Macaca mulatta: one gene and its partner. The protein of the gene in region 1 binds, or shares a complex with, the protein of each later gene. Links are inferred from orthologs where the notes say so. Each region holds a gene or a part of one and is shown on either strand. Other genes may lie near its edges.

Evidence for each region.
Region 2: the proteins of SLC9A3 (region 1) and CHP1 are in contact, whole or in part, in a cryo-EM structure (PDB 7X2U), measured with the Homo sapiens proteins. The link is inferred for Macaca mulatta from reciprocal best matches to the Homo sapiens genes SLC9A3 and CHP1. Residues at the interface, in NP_004165.2 of Homo sapiens: Tyr396, Arg397, Met398, Gln400, Glu402, Arg474, Leu475, Asn476, Glu477, Leu479, His480, Gly481, Arg482, Ala483, Phe484, Asp485, His486, Ile487, Leu488, Ser489, Ala490, Ile491, Glu492, Asp493, Ile494, Ser495, Gly496, Gln497, Asn501, Arg504; in NP_009167.1 of Homo sapiens: Arg30, Leu31, Arg34, Leu38, Lys40, Glu49, Phe51, Gln52, Arg53, Ile54, Glu56, Leu57, Ala58, Ile59, Asn60, Pro61, Leu62, Asp64, Ile66, Phe70, Phe83, Leu87, Phe90, Leu115, Phe117, Ala118, Leu121, Tyr122, Leu135, Leu139.

The regions. Positions count from the first base shown.
Region 1 is NC_133411.1:1,569,232-1,574,956, reverse strand, and holds the end of SLC9A3 (sodium/hydrogen exchanger 3), read left to right. Parts: intron 1-971; exon of another isoform or gene 972-1,070; intron 1,071-1,215; exon of another isoform or gene 1,216-1,236; coding exon 1,237-1,349; exon of another isoform or gene 1,350-1,376; intron 1,377-1,861; exon of another isoform or gene 1,862-1,953; coding exon 1,954-2,083; exon of another isoform or gene 2,084-2,248; coding exon 2,249-2,425; exon of another isoform or gene 2,426-2,536; coding exon 2,537-2,609; exon of another isoform or gene 2,610-2,943; coding exon 2,944-3,054; exon of another isoform or gene 3,055-3,495; coding exon 3,496-3,745; coding exon of another isoform or gene 3,746-3,749; exon of another isoform or gene 3,750-4,054; coding exon of another isoform or gene 4,055-4,554; coding exon 4,555-4,558; downstream 4,559-5,725. Other genes in the region: uncharacterized protein LOC114679012, read right to left, coding at 4,055-5,530. UniProt on the Homo sapiens protein: Plasma membrane Na(+)/H(+) antiporter. Exchanges intracellular H(+) ions for extracellular Na(+) in 1:1 stoichiometry, playing a key role in salt and fluid absorption and pH homeostasis.
Region 2 is NC_133412.1:18,584,344-18,590,601, reverse strand, and holds the start of CHP1 (calcineurin B homologous protein 1), read right to left. Parts: upstream 4,058-6,258; 5' UTR 3,920-4,057; coding exon 3,853-3,919; intron 1-3,852. UniProt on the Homo sapiens protein: Calcium-binding protein involved in different processes such as regulation of vesicular trafficking, plasma membrane Na(+)/H(+) exchanger and gene transcription. Involved in the constitutive exocytic membrane traffic.

The DNA of each region.
Region 1 (5,725 bases):
CCCACCAGCCACCATCCTTGACCCATGACCCATGACCCATGACCACGACCCTGGGCTCAGCTGCATGTGGGGAGCCCGTGGGTGCCTCCTGGTCACTCAGTAGCCTGAGTCTCCACAGCTGGGGTGGCGTCCGCCTGCCCGATGTCCCTCCTGGCTCTCACACAGGGCAGCTGCTCTCTCTCCCTGCACCCCCCACCCCACAGTGTGGGGCTCGGCAGGGGCAGGGGAAGTGGTGTGGGGAACAGCCCCTCCAAAGACCCCATGTGCCCAGGTGCTCCAGCCCTCGCCTGTGCCTGCCCAGAGCGGCAGCTGGCACTGTGGCTCCCCCGACCCTCACGGCTGTCTTCACGGGGCGGCAGGAGAGGGACAGAGGGACAAAGGTCATACAGAAGACGCTGGATTTAGAAGCAAAAGAGCAGGCAGAGGGCCCTTAGAACAATGACCCTCAGAGCCCCCCAGAGTGGGCAGTGAAGTGGGGGCCACATGTTCAGTGGGAGCAGCGGCCCCCGCCCGACCCCGGGGGCTCTCCTGGGAGCGTCTTGCTGCTGCAAGGCGGCATGGTGCCCACCTGGCAAGGTCTGAGCGCAGTGAGCTGACGTTCCCTCCACACCTGTGCCCCCGCTGGCCCTGGAGACCCTGACTCCAGCCACAAGCCCACCCTGCCCTGCACTCCTCCACAGCCTCACACTCTCCAGGCCTGCCATCAGGCGGGTGGGGTCTGAGGACACACAGGCAGCCCCACTCCCATCCTCTGGCACTCAGCTGTGCGGCTTCTGTGCCCCATCGGGCTCTGCTCCATTCCCTCGACCTGATTCATTTCTGGACATGAGGCCAATGGGGTTTTAGGGCCTCTGGCAGGGACAGGGGCCACTTCTGATTCCGCATATCGACAGTTTCCCCAGACACCCCCCAAGTCCTAGGCAGCTTTACCCCTTCACACTCAGACCACTGTGTCCTCCCACAAGCATTACCTCTGCCCAGTTCAGGCAGCAGTCTGGCTGTGGCCTCAGACAGATGGACAGAGGCTCAAAATCTGATCTCGTGGTTTTGGCATCTCCTCCCCTCTGCAGCTGTGAGGGGAGAACCTGGGGCTCAGGTCTCAAGGCCTTCCCTGGGCCCCGAGCTCTGGGCACTTCCCCGCTTCCCCCCAGGGCACACAACAGCAGCAGCTGCCGCAGGTCCGGGACCTAGGGCTTGGCTGCTCAGGCCACTGACCGGGCTGCTTCCTGACCATAGGGAGAGCGCCGTGGGTCCCTGGCCTTCATCCGCTCCCCCAGCACCGACAACATGGTCAACGTGGACTTCACGCCACGATCATCCACCGTGGAGGCCTCTGTCTCGTACCTCCTGTACGTGGCCGCGGTCCTGCAGCTTCCCTGGGGAAGAACCCAGCTGAGAGTCACAGGCGGGGCTGGGGTGGCTCCTGGCCTGGGGGTGGCATGGGGGAGTGGAGGGGTGCAGAAAGAGGGGCTGGGTGTCCCCTTCAGCAAGCGCTCCCCTGTGTTATGCGGTGGCCAGACTCCCTTAGTGCTGGATGCAAGGTGAAAGGGAGGGGCAGCAGCGGATTGGGGTCCGGGCCTGACGTGTTTGCCCCGGGCCAGGAGCAGCCTGTCCTGGTCCCCATGCCACCCCTACTGCCCCTCCAGCCATGGGCTCCACAGCTCACGGCCAGTTCTCATGGGAGGTCCACTCTGCCAGGTGTGCAGATGCCAGGGTCCCCAAGTCTCACAGCCAGGGCTCTGGAGGGGGACCAGTGAGGAGGGGGATCCACCTCAGAACGGAGGCCGGGAAGGCCTCGTGGGGAGTCAGCCTAAGCCCCGAGGGGAGAAGGGGCTGGCCAGGTGGCCAGGTGTCCCCGTACCCCAGCCGGATGCCCGCCTTGGGAAGGCGAGGGGTGCACAGGAGACCCCACCCTGAGGGAGCCTGTGTGGCTCAGCGCTGGTCCCCATGCAGGAGAGAGAATGTCAGCGCCGTCTGCCTGGACATGCAGTCTCTGGAGCAGCGGCGGCGGAGCATCCGGGACGCAGAGGACATGGTCACGCACCACACGCTGCAGCAGTACCTGTACAAGCCGCGGCAGGAGGTGGGCCCCGCAGGCTGGGGGCTGGACGCGCCCACAGGGACCCCTGTAGGGTGGCCTCCTCGTCCCCTCCCAGGACCATGGGGGATCCGTGCTCAGCCCCTGCGGCAGGAGGGCGGGAGTGTCTGGTGCTGGGCACAGCTGTGACCTCCGTGCCCAACCCTGCAGTACAAGCATCTGTACAGCCGGCACGAGCTCACGCCCACGGAGGACGAGAAGCAGGACCGGGAAATCTTCCACAGGACCATGCGGAAGCGCCTGGAGTCCTTCAAGTCGACCAAGCTGGGGCTCAACCAGAACAAGAAGGCAGCCAAGATGTACAAGCGGGAGCGTGCCCAGAAGCGGGTGAGGCCGGGTCACCAGGAGGCTCGAAGGGGCTGGGGCCTGGAGTGGGGGCAGTCTGGGCCGGGTGTGGCTGTGTTGAGGTCTGTGAGCAGCTTCACGTTTGCCCCACAGAGAAACAGCAGCATCCCCAATGGGAAGCTGCCCATGGAGAACCCTGTGCAGAATTTCACCATCAAAGAGAAAGGTGCGCTGGGGGCCCTGCGGGAAATGCTGGGAGCCACCACCTCCCAGCCCCAGCCCTCCCCTCTCGGGGCCCTCCCCTCTCAGGACCCTCCAGCCACCCAGGCAGGGAGGCACGGTCAGGGCCCCAGCTGCAGACCCACCCAGGATGGGGTTCCAGGGGTGCTGCCCTCCAAGTGGGGTCCCTCCTTGCCCTCCCCCAGCCCTGCGGTTTAGCCCTTCTCTCTGTGGGTCCCGACCCCCTGCACCTCTGGGCACAGAGCTGATGGACACGGCTGACCGGCTGTGAGGACAGCCCCCTAGTGACCCCAGTCCTCATCCCAGCCTGTCTCCTCCAGACTTGGAACTTTCAGACACCGAGGAGCACCCCAACTATGATGAGGAGATGAGCGGGGGAATCGAATTCCTGGCCAGTGTCACCAAGGACACAGCATCCGACTCCCCTGCAGGTGGGGACAGGGCACAGGCGTCGTGGCCCAGGGAGGGGCAGCTCCTGCTGCCCCAGGAGGGAGCTCAGTCATTGGACCAGGGGCACTGGGACCTGGCGGGGGGGGGTCTCCTGTGGGTTCTCAAGGGCCCTGCCTGGCACCTCGAGTGCCTCCTCAACCAACTCGGAGGCTGCTGTCCCAGGAGACGTGGGCCGGGCAGGGAGCAGACGGGGTGTGTCTTGAGGGAAGGGAGACCTCGCCTGTGCTGTCTGTGATGTGTGGGGTCATGGATGTGGGGCAAGGGCCTGCAACCTGAAAGGCACGTGACCCTAACCTTCCCGGTGATCCTATTCCAGGTGACCTTAACCTTCCAGGGCACGCAGCAGGTGACGGCCCCCGCAAGGCCTCCCCTGCCGCCCCAGGGCTCCCAGGAGGCTGACCGGCCGCTGCCCTCTCTCCTAGGAATTGACAACCCTGTGTTTTCTCCGGATGAGGCCCTGGACCGCAGCCTCCTGGCCAGGCTGCCGCCCTGGCTGTCTCCCGGGGAGACGGTGGTCCCCTCGCAGAGGGCCCGCACGCAGATTCCCCACTCTCCCAGCACCTTCCGCCGCCTGACGCCCTTCCGCCTCAGCAGCAAGTCGGTGGACTCCTTCCTGCAGGCAGACGGCCCCGAGGAGCGGCCCCCCGCCACCCTCCCCGAGTCCACACACATGTAACGCTCCCGGGCCTCCTGCCACCTAACCCCTCTCTCCGCAGCTCCTTTCCCTCCAGGTCTCCGCCTCGCGCTCTCTCTCTCCTCCTCCCTGGACCTGAACCTGGCTCTCTCTCTCTCTCCAGCAGCCCCTCTTCCTCCTCTAGCGCCCTGCTGGCCGCACCTCCCTCAGGAGCCCGGACAGACCCTGGCGTCTCTGCTGCTCCCACGGAGCTGAGAGCCCCAGGGCCGCCTGTGATTTCCTTTAGGTGGCTCCGAAAGCTAGTCCGCGAGTCCAACTCCTGCGCTCCCACGGAGCTGAGAGCAGGGCTAGGGGGAGCCAGACGCCCCGGGTCCCCTATCCTCCCACAGGGATACAGGGAGGGCCGGCCCCGCAGACCCGGGCTCTGCCTCCAGCTCAGGGCGCGCCACAGGGTCTGGGCTTTGTGAGCTCCCTCTGGGGGCCTGGGAGGCACCCGGGGAACGCCAGGGCGGTTTGAGATGGAGGAAGCAGGTTTTCCCCTTGGGGACCTTGACCTCCCGCGCTGCAGGGCCAGGGGCGGGACCTTCCTGCACGGAGAAGGCCGCTGTCCCGGGACCCCCGGCGGTGGGACGTGGTTGGGCCAGGGTGGGGCTTCGCTGTTGCTGCTTCCGCCTCTGTCCTGCGAACCGGGTCCTGGGAGGAGGCCCCGGCGGACGCCGAGCCCCGGGTGCCCGGCGGAAGGGGAGGCGAGAGCCGCCAGGCTTGGGGAGAGCTAAACCGCCCGGGGACGCCACTCCCGCCCTAGCGCCCGGGCTCCGCGCGCCGCTCACGCCCTGCTCTCCCGCAGGTGACACCGGCTCCGACACGCCGCTGACCGGACGCTCGTCCCCGCGCCACGGGCCGCCAGCCGCGGCCGCCGCCGCCCCGGAGAAGCCCCTGATCCCCGCGCGGTTACAGCGGCCGCGCGCCCCGAGCCCCGTCCCGCCCGCGCCCACGCCCACGCCCGCGCAGAACCCCGAGAGCGCCGCGGCCGAGCCCGCAGAGCCGCCGGAGCGCGAGCCGGGGGCGGGGCCTACACCCGGGGCGGGGGCGGGGGCGGGGGCGGGGCCGGGGCCGGAGCGCCGGGGACTGCCGAGTGCGCACGCGCGTTCGGCGGCGGCGCGCCGCGTGCACAGCCGGCGCTCGTTCCAGCGGCCCCGCGCGCGCCGCCGCCCCGCCCTGCTGAAGCTGGCGTCCCTGCCGCCCTCGTGCCACGCACCGCCGCACGCGCTGGAGCAGGAGGAGACGCCGCTGTGAAGCCGCGGGCGGGAAGGGCCCGCGCGCCGTGGCTGGCCGCTCGCGCCCTTTCCCACAGCTGCCGGGAAACCGAGGCTCGCCCAAAACGGATTTGCGTGAAACCAGCCCAAGGCTCCGGGCCCCCACCCCCGAGCCCCGCACCTCTCCCCGGGGACCGACTCAGGGACCTTCCGAGCGCCAGGACTCAGGGCCAGACCTGCAGCGGCTGCAGGCCCGGCCCCGCAAGCGGCCCTGGCCGAGCGCCGTTTCCAGGCCCTCGCCAGGTCTTTGAGCTGCAGGTAAAGTAGCGGGAACGTCTTCCGTCTACTCAGCGCTTGGGGATTTAGACTCCTAGAGCCAGCACCTGCCTCGTTCCCCCTCCAGGTTCCGTCCTGCCCGCGCCCGGTCTCAGGGTGGCGGCCGCGGGCACTGCCCGTCCCCCACAGACGAGGTCTCCGGCCTGACCTGTCGCACCTGGCCCGGAGGTCGCCCCGGGGGCCCTGGCTGGGTGAAAGGTGGCCTGGCGGGCGGCGCTTTCCAAGAATCATGGCCGTTCCTTAAGTGGACTGTGGGGCCCAGCAGCTGCTCTGGCCCCCTTAACAAAGCAGGGCGAACCAAGGGGGCATGGAGGGGCCCAGGGCACCGTCCCCCTCACCAGGCTCAGGCCCTCCAAGGAGGACCTGCTGAGACCCCTGGGCCTGTCCTGGACCCCGGACCCTTCCCACCCCTTCCGGCATCCCAGG
Region 2 (6,258 bases), on another chromosome or scaffold:
GTTCCTAAACTGTGAGAACAGCGTGACTTAACAGTTTCATTAACTGTTAAAAACTCCTTTAAAAATTTTATTTCCTTGGAATTGGCATAACATCTGTACTTAATTCCTAATCAAATGTCCACTAAAGAAGTATAAAATGTTGTCACCTCCCCAATAATATAGCCCTACACATAGTTTTTATAACTAGTACATGCCAATGGTATTTTCCCAGTAAGATGATTGTTATCTATGGTTCAAAATAACAACATTCACATGAAGGTTATTATACCAGACACTATTCTAAGTAGTTTACATAATTCATCTCATTTAATTGCCGTAAGAATCCTATAAAGTAGGCACTATTATTATTCTAATTTTACAGATGATGAAACTGAGGCTCACAGGTGTTACTTTTCCAAACACTTACTGTTATTCATTAAATATCAAATACCAGCTAATCTAGTCATGTATAAATTCTAATCTCTTTAAAATTACAAAAAATATGGTTAAATATAATCATCAATTCCAATGCACAGCTTTCGCATTGAATATAAAGTTAGCATTCCTCAATTATGTTACATTTTCTACTGGCAAAGGAAGTAGTAAAATGTCTTATAATTGTTCTTAAAGTGCTTTTGTTAGTTTTCCAAATTCTTCATAGAACAAAAGGCAGATGAAAATAGGACAAAGTCCACCTCTCTACCCACTCCGGATATCCGTTTTTATTCTTCAAAATCATTTGCATCATACCAAATTACTCCTTGAAAAAGCAACTCTGGGCCTGGTGCAGTGGCTCACACCTGTGATCCCAGCGCTTTGGGAGGCCAAAGTGGCCTGAGAATCACTTGAGGCCAGCAGTTCATGACCAGCCTCGACAAAATAGCAAGTCTCCATCTCTACAAAAGATAAAGATAAAAATCAGCTAAGCATGGTGGTATGTGCCTGTAGTCCTAGCTACTTGGGACGCTGAAGCTGGAGGATGGCTTAAGCCCAGAGTTCAAGGCTTGCAGTGAGCTATGCTCAAGCCACTGTAGTCCAGCCTGGGAGACAGAGCAAAGACCCTGTCTCTAAAATAAAGAAAAAGAAAAAGAAGGGCCGGGTGCAGTGGCTCAAGCCTGTAATCCCAGCACTTTGGGAGGCCGAGACGGGCGGATCACGAGGTCAGGAGATCGAGACCATCCTGGCGAACACGGTGAAACCCCGTCTCTACTAAAAAAATACAAAAAACTAGCCGGGCGAGGTGGCGGGCGCCTGTAGTCCCAGCTACTTGGGAGGCTGAGGCAGGAGAATGGCGTAAACCTGGGAGGCGGAGCTTGCAGTGAGCTGAGATCCGGCCACTGCACTCCAGCCTGGGCGACAGAGACAGACTCCGTCTCAAAAAAAAAAAAGAAAAAGAAAAAGAAAAAACAACTCTGATGATGGACACTATTTGGATAAACTGATGGTTCCCAGCACAGAGGAATGACTTTGTAGCAGGCTTGGGGGTATCTCTCCTGGAAGTCACCCAAAATGCCCTAGGTTAATCTATTACTCCATTCATCCATGTATCAAGGCCCAATTCCCATCCTCCATGAGGACAGCCCACAGGGATGCTCTCTTCCCTGATTTCTGAAGGTGGGTGACACACAATTTCAGCTTTCTTATGTCATGATGCTAATCATAACTCTCTTGGGCTTATCTCCCCAACCAGGTTGTGGGCGTTTTTTTGTCACCATCTGCTCTCAGTACCTAGCACAGTACTGAACAGACACTGTAAAAATTCAGTAAGCACTTGTTTCACTAAGCATTCTGGCTCAATACATACATTTGCACTGGTTGTGGAGAGAAATGGGGAAAACAGCTTTTCCATGAGCACTCAGTTGTCTCTCCACAAGCCACATGGTAAAAATATCCCATCCAGGCCCTTTCCATTTGGTCAAATGTATGTAAACCAGAATGGGATTACCGCTCCCTTCATTCTGAAGCAAAAATGGCTTTTTGCATCCTCACTATGGTTTACACTTTCTCGTTAAGTGACTCTGTATTTATTTCTCTTTCATTCTGCTTATTTCTCCATGTGACTCTTTAACACAAATACTTTAATTCGGTGTCACCCTAGACCTAAAGTAGTTCTAATTACAAATGTGGCCAGAAGCTATGGCCACAAAATGTAATAAAATGCTTGCTGAATCCAAACTGCTTGCATCTCCACTCCTAGGGTCAGAGTAAGTCAGTGGCCAAACAAGTACTGCAAATTATAAAGAGATAACTACTTTGGGTCATTCAAAATTGTGAAAAGAACTGCCTTGGTAGGTGGAGAGGTTATCACTATCAAAGGTCTTTACAGAGAGGCTTAAGGGCCATATTTTAGGGGAGGCTGAAAGGGGCAAACCAATCCAGCAAGGGGTGGGGCTAGATAACATCCCTTCCAACTTGAAAACTCTAGAAAGTTGAACTTGTCACAAAGCAGAGAAAAGCACTTAACATATTCTAGGCCTGAGTAATTCTGTAGTTGTCCATAGCACTCCTCGGTACTATCTGCATATGGGCCCCTGAGTGAGTTACTGGTCATCTCATTATCAAAGACAGGTATGATGAAGAGACAGAGCTCAGGTGCTACATCATTCATTAACTCAACAAGAATCGTAAAGGTTTACTGAAAAGATAAAATATTGTATGCATCAATACAATTGTATCATACATTGCATTATCAAGGACTATTCAAAGGTATGCTGGTATTTTACAGAGCTTCAGAATCCCCAGAGTCCTTTTGCTCCTTTGTGCAGGCTAATGAGGAAGAGACTGGACTATTAAAAAAAAAAAAAAAAAAAATCAGTTCTGCAGGGCAGGGTGGCTCACACCTGTAATCGCAACACTTTGGGAGGCCGAGGCGGGTGGATCACTTGAGGTCAGGAGTTCAAGGCCAGCCTGGCCAACATGGTGAAACCCCATCTCTACCAAAAATACAAAAATTAGCCAAGTGTGGTGGCAGGCGCCTGTACTCCCAGCTACTCGGGAGGCTGAGGCCAGAGAATCGCTTGAACCTGGGAGGCAGAGGTTGCAGTGTGCTGAGATCACACCACTGCACTCCACCCTGGGTGACAGAGGGAGACTCCGTTTAAAAAAAAAAAAAAAATCAGTTCCTAGTACAAATTCACACGGAGATTTTTGAAGCACATCCAATTTCAATAGCGAATAAAAAAGTACACCAGCACAGTAGAAATCAATATATATATATGAAATTAGGCCAGCAAGTATCCTCGTGTAAGTAAAAAACTGGTGCTCATAGTATCCGTGTTTTTTCTCTAGAAGTTCAGATTGAAAGAAGTCTCACAATCCCAGATCCCTGTTGAAAGGTCTCCAGGCATCGGGTCATGTCTCCCAAAGCCTTACTACACGGTCTTGCTTTCTGGGTGGTTTTCCTAATTTGTGACAAGAACTTGTTTGTAATTTCCCATAGTTGTCAGAGGTTTCAGGTCCTTGCCCAGAAATGGATTTTCTATAGAATCCATCTCGAGTTCCTGAATTTGCTTCTCGGGCTTTACCTACTGTTCAGGATGCCTCTTCATAGGGAAGGGTGGTGCTAGGCAACAGAAAGGAAAGGAGTTCGGGGACTTTGATGGGCAAGGGGCAGAAAAGGGGGGCGTCGACGCTCTAAGAGTTATCAAGACTCCCGATGTTGAAGGGAAGGACACCCCCACAGTAGCTACAGCCCCGCTCCAGGAAGCTGCAGCTGGAAGAACAGGTCTTCCAGCTCTCGGTCCCGAAACCTGGAGGCTGCCCAGGACCCCCCCAACCTCACAGGCACCCGAGCTCCAGACCTTAGCGACAGCCGCCCTCGGTTGCGAGGCCAGTCTGAGGCGCCCGGCGTTCCCACCCCCAACCCGAACTCACAGCCGGTCTCCTTCTTGATCTCCTCGAGCTCTTCGTCCCGCAGTAACGTGGAGGCCCGAGAACCCATCGCCGTGCCGGGAGCTCCTCCGGGAGCAGCGGCGCCAGAAGAGAGGGCGACAGGAGGGAAGGAGGGAGGGAAGGGCGGGCTAGGGGTCAAGAAGGGAGAGGGCAGTGTTTCCACTGCGGACCCAGGAGGGAACCCAGGGGTGGTGCGCTGGGGAGGGCGGCCCCGAGGACCCGCCAATCAGGCGCGAGGCAGCGCCCGGCTCAGGAGTCGACGTCAGCGTTCGAGTTCCAGCCCCGAATGAATCAGCCCAGCTCCAGCCCAAGTCCTGCTGAAGATGGACCCCGCCCCCGGAACCGCAGCTGCCACCGGCCTTAAAGGGGCGATGCCACTCGGGCGCTAACGACGCAATTAAAAGGGCAATTCCATTGACCAACCGTTTTACAACAAACTAACCTGCGGCAGGCAGCGTAGCCTACCTTTTCTCACAGAAATCGAACACTAGGAATCCTACTCGATAGGTGGCACGGATTGCGGAGAGAAACTTCGCGTGGGGGGAACCCTAGGGTGTGCCCCTCGGGGACTGCATGCGCTCTGTATCTTTCCTGGCGGCCGTCCTCCTCCCGGCCGCAGGGGGCGCTGGGGAGCCAGCCTCGGGGCCGCGTGCTGATTGGCTCCTTGGGAAACAGACGAGACTGGACGTTGGGCCGGGAGGGCTGCAGCGTGGGTGCCCGGCGTCGCGGACCTTTCTCCAGGTTGTTTTCAGGCTGTGATTTGATAACCGCCGCCGGGTGGCGTGGAGCGTCCCGAGACTTTTTCCTTCATTGCAGCCCCCCTCTTCTTTTAGTTCTAGACTGAAGTTCGAGGAATTCACCACTTGGCTGAAATTAGGATCCAGATTTCTCAAACTTGCTTCGGAGGAAAAAGCCCTAACGATGGAGGACAGTGAATTCCTAGCTTATGGTCCGCCATTTATTTGAAGTTCCTTACTTTGTCTTAAAAATGAGAAATTTTGCATTTTATTCTCATGGTGTATTGTTTGTTTTGATTAAAAAGGTAGGCCGGACACGGTGGCTCACGCCTGTAATCCCAGCATTTTGGGAGGTCGAGGCGGGCTGATCACCTGAGGTCAGGAGTTCGAGACCAGCCTGACCAATATGGAGAAACTTCGTCTCTACTAAAAATATAAAATTAGTAGGGCGTGGTGGCGCATGCCTGTAATCCCAGCTACTCGGGAGGCTGAGGCAGGAGAATTGCTTGAACCCGGGAGGCGGAGGTTGCAGTGAGCCAAGATCGCGGCATTGCCTGGGTGACAGAGCGAGACTCCGTCTCAAAAAAAAAAAAAAGTAAAAAGCCACCCATTAAATTAGTGCCTACTCTCAGGTGAACCAGTTCTTACTACTTCACCGGCCTTACCCCTTCACACCTGTTTGGTTAGAACCCGTATAAGATATGGAAGAACTGAATTCTGACCGCTGTCTGTTAGAACCTAAGTACCAGGGTATTTTTGTCTTAGCAAGCTTTCCCAGGTCAACTTAGGTTATTAGTTTTAAGTGTTCCTAAGGCTTTACAGCTTAGCCTGAGGCCCCACACGTTCCCTGCAGGCTGAGGTTCTAGTTTGAAGAACTACAGTTTTGTTTTGTTTGTTGTTGTTGCTGTTGTTTGAGATGGAGTTTTTGCTCTTGTTCCCAGGCTGGAGTGCAAAGGCGCCATCTCAGCTCACCGAAACCTCCGCCTCCCGAGTTCAAGCGATTCTCCTGCCTCAGCCTCCCGAGTAGCTGGGGTTATAGGCATGCGCCACCGCCTCCAGCTAATTTTATGTTTTTAGTAGAGACGGGGTTTCTCCATATTGGTCAGGCTGGTCTCGGACTTCTGACCTCAGGTGATCCGCCCGCCTCAGCCTCCCAAAGTGCTGTGATTACAGGTGCAAGCCACCGCACTTGGCCTGTTTTGTTTTTTTGCGACAGAGTCTCACTCTGTCGCCCGGGCTGGAGCGCCAGGGCCTGATAACTGTGCAGATTCGGCTCACTGCAGCCTCCAGGCGGGTTCAAGGGATTATCGTGCCTCAGCCTCCTGAGTAGCTGGGATTACAGGCCCGTGCCACCACGCTCAGCTAATTTTTGTATTTTTAGTAGAGACAGGGTTTCACCATATTGGCTAGGCGGGTCTCAAACTCCAGAACTCAGGTGATCCACCAGCCTTGGCCTCCCAAAGTGTTGGGATTACAGGCGTGAGTCACCGTGCTCGGCCTTAGAGTTATTTTGATGATTGGCGTGCACTTGTCTAACCTAGTGATGTTGTCCTTAATACTCAGTAACATTTTGGATATGTCCGTCTAAGAGCTAAATCACTGGAGCTGCTTTGTATGTTGGAATATGGGTGTGATAGGAAAATTTTGTCAG